Caenorhabditis elegans: one gene and its partner. The protein of the gene in region 1 binds, or shares a complex with, the protein of each later gene. Each region holds a gene or a part of one and is shown on either strand. Other genes may lie near its edges.

The links. The genes of interacting proteins can lie anywhere in the genome.
Region 2: eif-3.K (region 1) and eif-3.I share a complex: the UniProt entries of both Caenorhabditis elegans proteins name them as parts of the eukaryotic translation initiation factor 3 (eIF-3) complex.

What each region holds. Positions count from the first base shown.
Region 1 is NC_003283.11:12,952,346-12,955,891, forward strand, and holds eif-3.K (Eukaryotic translation initiation factor 3 subunit K), read left to right. Parts: upstream 1-1,656; coding exon 1,657-1,832; intron 1,833-1,879; coding exon 1,880-2,078; intron 2,079-2,257; coding exon 2,258-2,351; intron 2,352-2,403; coding exon 2,404-2,610; intron 2,611-2,719; coding exon 2,720-2,766; 3' UTR 2,767-2,884; downstream 2,885-3,546. Other genes in the region: pqn-68 (D-aminoacyl-tRNA deacylase), read left to right, coding at 293-349, 393-596, 652-843; mpst-7 (Rhodanese domain-containing protein), read right to left, coding at 2,942-3,097. UniProt on the Caenorhabditis elegans protein: Component of the eukaryotic translation initiation factor 3 (eIF-3) complex, which is involved in protein synthesis of a specialized repertoire of mRNAs and, together with other initiation factors, stimulates binding of mRNA and methionyl-tRNAi to the 40S ribosome.
Region 2 is NC_003279.8:2,483,939-2,490,287, forward strand, and holds eif-3.I (Eukaryotic translation initiation factor 3 subunit I), read left to right. Parts: upstream 1-1,922; 5' UTR 1,923-1,930; coding exon 1,931-2,066; intron 2,067-2,869; coding exon 2,870-3,303; intron 3,304-4,273; coding exon 4,274-4,628; intron 4,629-5,502; coding exon 5,503-5,561; 3' UTR 5,562-5,849; downstream 5,850-6,349. Other genes in the region: abtm-1 (Iron-sulfur clusters transporter ABCB7, mitochondrial), read right to left, coding at 1,260-1,337, 1,385-1,444; ddx-10 (ATP-dependent RNA helicase), read left to right, coding at 6,046-6,252, 6,299-6,349. UniProt on the Caenorhabditis elegans protein: Component of the eukaryotic translation initiation factor 3 (eIF-3) complex, which is involved in protein synthesis of a specialized repertoire of mRNAs and, together with other initiation factors, stimulates binding of mRNA and methionyl-tRNAi to the 40S ribosome.

The DNA of each region.
Region 1 (3,546 bases):
CGTATCATCGATTTCTGCTCAAATTTAAGAACTCCTGTTGAAAACAACGGCAAGGTGGCCAGCAAGCAAACCGCGAGAGAGTTGGTACATTTCTTGTGAAGGAGACCGTGTACAGATTCCACGTCGCGCTGGCCGAGCCTTTGAGGACTAGTAATACGGTGGAGTGTCGTTAGCGCGCTCTGTTTAGCAAACATTTTTCATTTATTTTTAGGGTTTTCAAGAGAACATTTCAATAGTTTTCATCTGTTTTTTTTTGTATTTTTAACATTAGTTGTTTCAATTTTTTTCAGAAATGAAGGTAGTTCTTCAACGAGTTACTCGAGCTGCAGTCACCGTAGGTGATGAAGTGGTAAGAATATATTAACCGTTATTGTTTAAAATATCATAATCAGGTAGGTTCCATTGGAAGAGGTCTGTGTGTGCTTGTCGGAGTTCATCGAGATGACACGGAAGAGGATATGAAGTATATCATTAGGAAAATTTTGAATCTACGAGTTTTCCCTGCTTCGGAACAAAAACCATGGGATAAATCAGTTATGGATCTCGATTTAGAAGTGCTGTCTGTCAGTCAGTTCACCCTTTACGGTCAGTTTAAAGTGAGTTTTGTCTAATATACTTAAACAAAACTATTCATATTATTTCGTTTTTTAGGGAAATAAACTGGACTTTCATACCGCAATGGCCCCAACAGAAGCTTCAAAATTTTATGCTTCTTTTCTTGAAGCCATGAAAAAAGCTTACAAAGCTGATAAGATTCAGGACGGCAAATTTGCAGCAATGATGAGCGTCGATATTGTAAATGACGGACCTGTTACAGTTACTTTTGATAGTAAAGAAAAATAATAAAAATTTGTTTTACTACTGTTGAATTTTGTACAATTTTGTTCATACAGCGGTTTGATTCCGTCATCATATCTTAATTATTTTCATATATTTATATTCTCTGGCAAAACCTCATATTACGTATACCTTAAATGCGAGTTTTCAATATCTTACGCACATTGGTCTCACCACGCAGACGACGACTTACTGTAACTTTTGTCGATTTATGGATTTTGCATTAAATTTTGATTATATAAATCGTAACAGAAATTTTTCCTTTAATTTGAAAATTATGAGGCAAATGTGGCCCTTAATTTGACACCAGTTACAGTAACCCGATATCAGCGTGGCGAAACCCATACGCTGAGTTTTCCTCTAACAATAGTTTTTTCTTATTTCTAATGTAAATCTCATTAAAAACTGAAAAAAAAACTTGGAAAAACGTCTCCATTTCAGTTTGTCTGATAGCAAATCGAGTTCACTGAAATCTCTTAACCCAAATGGGGAGTGCCTCTAAAATCGAGGAAGATCTGTGCAGGATATGCCTTCAGATTTATTCGATGCGCCTTTAAAACTATTGTTATTTTGATTGAGAAAATTTTTTTTCTTTCTCTTAAATATTTTTCTATCAGTTTTGATGTGTTCTGTAGCTTTTTTTCTAATTAATGGAGAAACTTAGCGTAATTTTAATCGATTTGACAAAAGATGTGCGCAACTTTATGCAAGATTTTTTTCACTTTGCGCAGGACTTCATCGAGTCTGTTCAGGAGTTTCACTCTACTTATTATTTCTCGCAGAGTTTCTTTTCTTCAATTGCTATAATTTGTTTTTAAGATGTCGTTCGAGAAACTGCAAAAGGAATTGCACGAAGCTATCGAAGGAGTAAACCGATACAATCCGGAAAATGTTGCCGACTTGGCTGCCTGCGTTCAAGCTATGGTCAATGAAAACAAGTACGATAAAGATATCGTTTTGACCATTCTCAAGCTCTACCAGCTTAACCCGGAGAAGTAAGTATTCAAGAAGATTAATAAATTTCAAAGAGAATTTTTCACAGGTACGACGAGGCTGTTGTTCGACAAGTTTTGCTCAAGACGTTGATGGTTTTGCCATCGAGTGATTTCGCTCTCGCCAAGTGTCTCATCGACACCAACAGACTCGGATCTCAAGAACTTCGCAGAATCTTTGATCTTGGAGCTGTGCTCGAATCTTGCAACTTCGCTGTTTTCTGGAAATTGGTGAAGGGGGCGTATAAAGTGAGTTTTTACACTTTTCAAAGAATAGATTTATCTAATATTGAAACAAGTGAGCTTTTCAAAATCAAACCTTGTTTTGTGTGCATCTGAAACTCAGTATTTATTTCAATGCTGAATCTATTTATTTTTGGAATATTCTTTAATTTCGGCGTACGACTAATCAATTTTTAAAATTTCAGCCAACAACGAACCCAAATGAACCCTTCAAAGTTCCTGGCGAAGTCCCAAAAATGATCAAGCCAATGGTCGGATTCGAGGATGCTGTCAAGCACTGTCAGTTAAATATTATTTTTATTGCTTGACAATTTCAATACCAAGTTTTCAGATGCTTGTCGCGTCATCAGTGTTACGTTCCAAAAAATCGAAAAGAAAATGTTGAGCCGTCTTCTCGGCGGAGCCAGTGACAAGGAAGTTACCGCACTGGCACAATCATTCGGATGGGAAGCCAAGGAAAATGGAGATGTTTTCTTTGTTGCAAATCACGAAGGAACTATCAAAACAAGAAATATCGACGAGAAAATTCAATTCCCACGTGAGTATTATGCGTATTAGGTTTTTCAAACGATTTAAAAAATGTCCTAATAATCGAAGAACAAATTTAAAATGCCTAGTAAAATCTCAAGTGCATCTATCATTTTCAGATGTCGCCGATCTTCTGACCAGCATTCAACCCCCGTTGACTCTTTAATATCAATTATCACTGTCATTCAAATTATAATACCCTTGTTTCTGTTGTTCGGTTTTCCCCCGTTTCTATTCCCTTTCCTATTTATATTTCCTTTATGTTTTCATGAACTTTATTCAATATTCACTTTTACCCGCATTTTATGCATATAATATTTAACATGGATCTTCTTTTAGCGTCAAGTCTCCGTCGTTGCTCCGATGACTCTCAAACCGTCAGGTGCTCTGACTACCCATTCAGGCCACCCGCCAAAATAGATCTTCCCATTGTAACCAGATCGTGTCAAAGCCCACCAAACCATTGCCGATCGAAGTGACGTGGAACAGTATATAATCTGAAGAATATGATCTAGCGAGAAATATTATCATAATTTCAAAAGATTTTAGCATGTCTTCTCGAAGACGCATGGATTCATCCAGATTGGTCTCGACGCGCAAATAAGTTTATGGTACTTCTTTAATTTTGCATTTTTCAATGAAATTATCTTGTTTACAGGGTGGGCCAAAAGTATGGTAACACGTTTGCAGCTCTATAACTTTACTAGTGAAGAGAGTTATTACATCAATTTGTACAAGTTTTGTTCTCCATAAAATACTGACCAGATGAACGTTTTGAATTTTCAAAATGTTCCCATCCGCATCGCTGCAGGCCTTCAGAACTTTTGAGATCACGACCTTTATGGCACGCAAGTCGGCATTCTGCGGTTTTTCTACATTTTTCTCGAGGAATCCATCAAGTGTCTTACAAGTTTTATAGTTCAAAGAATGCTCTTGGTCTAGAGAT
Region 2 (6,349 bases), on another chromosome or scaffold:
TTTCTGAAAAACGTGCTATTTCATCGTATTTTAGCTTAAAAATACGATTTTTTGCTCGAAAAATCGCTATTTTGACCAAAATTCAACGGAAAATTCAATTTTTCCATTAAAATTCCACTGAAATTCATATTTTTCGAGGTAAACCGCAGGTTTCGTTTGCTCCGATGAGCTGTTAGAGTTGAATGCCAGTGGACAACTTGATAATGGACAAAATGTGAAATGTAAGCAGAATAACGAAGGAGAACTCAGTTTTGAGTTCGGATCAGAAGCTCAGAAGAAGAATTAATTGATTTTTTAATGTCTTTTTTCGAATTTGGGACACGTTTTTGGTGCTTTTTGAGCTAATAAAGTTGATTTTTGAGCATTTTTTCATGATTTTAGGGTGTAAAAACCTAATTTTACACCAAAAAACTGGGTTTTTCGGATGAAAAATGCAACTTTCCAAGTTCCTTTGGAGCTTCCGAGCTTCATCTCAAATTTGTGATTTTTGAGAATTGTTTGAAGCTTGCGACAACACAATTCCTGGAAAACGTGCTATTTCATCGTATTTTTGCTTAAAAATACGATTCTAAGCACGGAAAGTTGCTACTTTGAACGAAGTTCAACGGAAAATTCAATTTTTCCATTAAAATTCTACTGAAAATCATATTTTTCGAGGTAAAATCCAATTTTCGCAGATTCCATTTGTTGATTTTTAAGCATTTTTTTAAAATGATTTTAAGGTGAAAAAATCCAATTTTCCCCGAAAAACTGGACTTTTCTTAAGAAAAATGCTAGATTTTTCCAGTTCTGGAAAGATTCCCACGTTCCAGTGGTGCTTTCCAGCAACTTTTTCACAAATTTCTGTTTTTTTTTTCAAAATAAACTGCTTTTTTTTTTAGAAATTATATATTTTTTGAGCAGAAAAAGTGAAAATTTCGATATATATTAGGCCTAAAATGGAATTTTTTGAAGAAAATTCAGAAAAAAATTAATTTATAAAAGAGAAAAATCGATATCTCAGCTACCGTAAAAGCTTTAAAGGCGCATAGCAAAATTTAATTCTAACTTTAGAGACTGTAGTTTTCGCTTCGAGACCACAAGCTTATTTTTCGCTCTAATTGGCTAAAAATTAACTTTTTCGAGGCAAAAATTTCTGGAATTAGCTTTAAAAAATGTGAAAATACATATTTTTAACCTAAAAATTCATGGAAATTTCTATAAAATGTTTTTTAAGGATTTTAAAACGTTTTTTTCAACAAATTATCGCAAAACCCCACATTTTTACTAAGAATCTGTGTGGCATTTCTGATGAGTGCTGGTGATTTTGTCAGTGACGAGAAACTGCGGTAAACTGCCTGAAAATCAATATTTTACCGGAAATTCTCGGGTTTTTTAACGATACCTGCGATCTGATAGTGTTTGACGCGTTCCGTAGGCCAGCTATTAGTCGTAATTGTAACATTATCGATCTCTGAAAACTGGATTCGGTGAAGCTTTCGCAAAAAAATCGATGAGAATTGAGAGTTGCGAAATTTAGCAGTTATTTGTGGTGGAACATGTTAAAATTTGAGTTTTTAATTAATATATTGCTAAAAATTTGATAAAATTCACTTTTTAATTGTTGAAAACTACTGAAAACCACTCGAAATTGCTGAAAATTGCTGAAAATCGAAATTTCGTCAGCTGATGTCGATTATTCTGCGCGGGGGTACGGTACGCAAGTCCGCAAACACTGTCACGCCAAATTGCGGAGGTTGAGCCAAATCCTATTTCTTGTTGTTTTTTCGCTTATTTTTCGAATATTTCCCATGTTTTCTGGCTTCTAATTTTCATTTTTTTAATGGAATTTATTAATAATTAAGCCAATAATTCATTTTATAATCAAAACTGCCGAATATTCCACCAATTTCTCGCAGAAACCTTCAAAAATAGGGGATTTCTTTCAGAAATGCGTCCACTTTCGCTGAAAGGCCACGAACGTGCTCTCACTCGGGTCCGTTTCAATCGTGAGGGAGATTTGACGTTCTCCTGTGCTAAGGACAAGAAGCCATGCGTTTGGTATACTGAAAATGGAGAGAGAATCGGTATTTTTGAATATTTTCGCGAAAAATTTTCGCAGAATTAAAGGTGGAGTAGCGCTAGTGGGAAAATTGCTTTAAAACATGCATATGGTACCACAATGACCGAATATCATGATTAAAAATTTCAAAAAAATTTTCTAAATTTTATATGATTTTTTGAAAATTGAAAAAATCTCAGTTTTTGCCTAATTTCAATTTTAATTACCGCCAATTGGATTTGTTCGATGGAGCGCGCTTGCACGTTTTTAAATTTATTTATTTTATTTATTGTTATTTTCCACCGATTTTTAATGTTTTCGGTGTATTTTTGCTTGAATTTTAGAGAAAAAGTCAAAAGAATTGCAAATTTTCAATTAAAAAGCACGCTTACAGGCGTAAATCAGTGAAATTTATTAATTCAGGTTCGAAATCGTTTAAAAGCGTTACTTTTCATTTTTTACGCCTCTAAGCGTGCTTTTTAATCGAAAATTTGCAATTATTTTGACTTTTTCTCTAAAATTCAAGCAAAAATACATCGAAAACATTAAAAATCGTTGGAAAATAACAAAAAATAAAATAAATAAATTTTAAAACGTGCAAGCGCGCTCCATCGAACAAATCCAATTGGCGGTAATTAAAATTGGAATTAGGCAAAAACTGAGATTTTTTTCAATTTTTCAAAAAATCATATAAAATTTAGAAAATTTTTTTGAAATTTTTAATCATGATATTCGGTCACTGTGGTACCATATGCATGTTTTAAAGCAATTTTCCCACTGACGCTACTCCACCTTTTAAATATATTTATTTATTATTTTTCTTTTCAGGTAGCTACGACGGGCATAACGGAGCCGTGTGGGATATCGACGTCTCATGGGACACTACCAAGTGTGTCACCGCGTCCGGAGACCTCACCGTGAAGATTTGGGATGCCGAGCTCGGCAACTGCCTCTACACAATCAACCATCAGACTCCGATGAAGTCGTGCGGATTCTCGTATTCAGGAAATTTGGTGTGCTTCACCACACAAAAGATGACAAAGAATCTCTCGACGTTCCAAGTCCGAGATCTTCGTGATTCAAGTCAAATGGTTGAGGGTGGAGAGTCATTCTTCTACTCACAATTCGATGTGAACGCCACGACCGCACTTTTCACTCAGATGGATGACCTCGTGACGATCGGATTCGAGTCTGGACTCCTTCAGCAGTACGATTTGAGAAATCCGGATACACCAATTCACACTAACGAGAGTGTTCATCGTGTTCGTCATTTTTTCGTTGTTCTCTGGAGCGCTTGCTGACACTTTACGATCTCCTGAATTGGCGGAAATTTTATTGCTAATTTTTGGTTTTTATTGTTGTGGGGAAACATTATTAGAGCCGAAAGTGTGTACAATTTGGAAAATTGGCGAAATTTCGCATTAAAAAACCGTGCGCGGCACAGTTGCGAAGAAGGCGTGCCAGGGTTGCATCCTGACTCCGCACACAAGATTAAAACCAAAAATTCGAAGAAATAATTTAGTTTTCTCGAAAAATGGAACAAAATCGGCAGTTTTTTCGATTTGAAAGCCGTGAAAATCTCATTTTGAAGAGAAAAAGCAGCAAAATCCGGCAGTGATTGATTATTTTGATTATTCTAATTTTTTTCAATGAAAAAACCAATTAAATCAATTAAAACTGTATTTTTCTCTACAAAAAATGTATATTTTAAAATTCTGAAATCAAAAAACTCCCGATTTTTGATGTAAAACCTTAAATTTTACGCGTTTTCGAGTCGTATAAAGCTTCCCAACAACAATATCCATCAAAAATTTATATTAATTTCCATAGAAACCAAAATTAGCAAAAAAACCTTATTTCCCGTGGAAACAAAATTCCGCGAATTCGGGAGTTCGTGAGGTGTCAGCAAGCGCGCTCCAATGATTATAAGACCGAGGCTCCACGAAATTCAAGATCTTGTGGAATTCCGGATCTGGCACCGTACCAACTCAAAAAAAATTAACGCAATTTTTCTGGAAAAAATCCTGACAACGATGCTCCGATGTTACGCATCGCGTGTTGTTTAGCGTTTTTCCTGAAGAAAATTTAAAAAAAAACCACATTTTTCTTCGAGAAAACTGCGAAAACTGCAGTTGGCACGGTGCCAGATCCGGAATTCGACGAGATCTTTAATCCGTGGTGCCTCCGTGATTTCTAAAATAATTTCAAAAAAAAAATTTCCCAAAATTTCAGTACAGCGTCCAAGATCTCCAACTATCACCACGCGGCGATTTCCTGATCTCCGCTTCACGCGACAAGACGGCCGCCCTGCTCGACGTGAACGATCTGAAAAAGCTGAAACAATACAAATCCGAGCGTCCCGTCAACTCGGCATGCATCTCACCGAATCGCGATCACATTTGCCTTGGAGGAGGAGAAGACGCGATGCAGGTCACACAGACGTCTGTCTCTGCTGGACACTTTGAAGCCAAGATCTATCATATGGTGTTCGAAGAGGAATTCGCCAGATTCAAGGGACATTTCGGACCGATTAACACGATGGCCTGGCATCCATCGGGCACAATTATCGCGACTGGAGGAGAAGACGGTATGGGGATTCCACTGCAACTTTTTTTTTGAACGAGGGACGAGGAAATGCGGTTTCTAGGCCATGACCGAGGATCCGACAAGATTTATCAGCAATTTATCTTGCTTTGTTTTCCGCGTTTTTTCTTTTATTTTTCACCGATGTTTCCCCCGTTTTTTCTTATTAAAACTGATGAAGAAATATTGTTTTTGCAGATGCTAAAATAATTTTCAAGTGAAAAAATTGTGAATTCAGCCGGCAAGTAGCGGTGGAAGTGGTCAATGTAATATGATGGATTACGGGAATACTAAACCTAAACTTTCTTCCAAAACATGCTATAAATGCTGCTTAGATGCTGAAACTACCTGATTTTAATAACGAGACCGCTGAAAAAGTTTTGAGATTTTCAAAATTCAACCTTTTTGGCGAAAAAGTCGAGATTTTTCCACAAAATGTTGAATTTTGAAAATCTCAAAAAACTTTTTCAGCGGTCTCGTTATTAAAATCAGGTAGTTTCAGCCTCTAAGCAGCATATGTATCATGTTTCGAAAAAAGTTTAGTGTTTAGTATTCCCGTAATCCATCATATTACATTGACCACTTTCACCGCTACTTGCCGGCTGAATTCACAATTTTTTTCACTTGGAAATTATTTTAGCATCTGGTTTTAAAAAAATTTATTTATCAGTTTTAATAAGAAAAAAACGGGGGAAAAATCGGTGAAAAATAAAAGAAAACTCGCGGAAAACATTGCAAGATAAATTGCCGATAAATCTTGTCGGATCCTCGGCCATGGCCTAGAAACCGCATTTCCTCGTCCCTCGTTCAAAAAAAAGTTGCAGTGCGATTTGAGGATTTTTCATATAAAAATTCAAAAATTATTGATTTTTTTCCAGGTTACATCAGAATTCAAGAGTTCGACGAGGACTACCTCGGCTTCACCTACGATTTTTAATTTGTTCTACGTTTTCGTTTTCTTCCTGTTTCCCGGGCGATCGTATTTGCCAAAAAAAGACCGTTTCCCCCTTTTTCCTACTCGTTCCTGTTGAAAACCGCCTAATTTTAGAGTTTAAATGACGAATTTAAGCCTATGCAGTTCGGAAAACCTTTAAAATTTATCAAATTCTAAAATTACGCGGTGGTGATTTTCTGTTTTTTCCATTTTTTCCATATTTAAGATCAATTTTCGGTGGCTTTTAATTGTTTTTTTTTTCATAAATAAATATTATTTTGAGTTAAAATTGATCTATTCCCTCGAATTTCTTGGTTTTAATCTCCAATTATTATATTTTTAAAAAAAATTAATTTTTTCTCAATTAAAAATTAAGAAAAATTGTGGGCGGAGTCAGAATGCAACCCTGGCACGCTTTTTTCGCAACTGCCGCGCACGATTTTTCCTGCAATTTTTAAATATTTTTACCCAATTTTCAGCGTTTTCAATGCCTCACACAAACGGAAAAGGCGGCGGAGCACAGAAATGGGCTGGAAATAATAAAAGAAAACGAAATTTCGATGGCGAGCAGGATCCAAGTGTCAGAAAAGCGTTGAAGGAGAAGCGGCTTCTGAAAAAGAGAAAACAGGATTTAAAGGGACAGGAGGAGACAATGCTCGACGAAGTTGAGCAGAAATATCAGGAAATGCTCAAGGTAGCTCTAAAAAATAGTTTTTTTATTAAAAAATCGATTTTTCCAGAAAAGCTCCCGCACATTTCTCCGCTTCGAGGATTTCCCGCTCTCCTGGAGG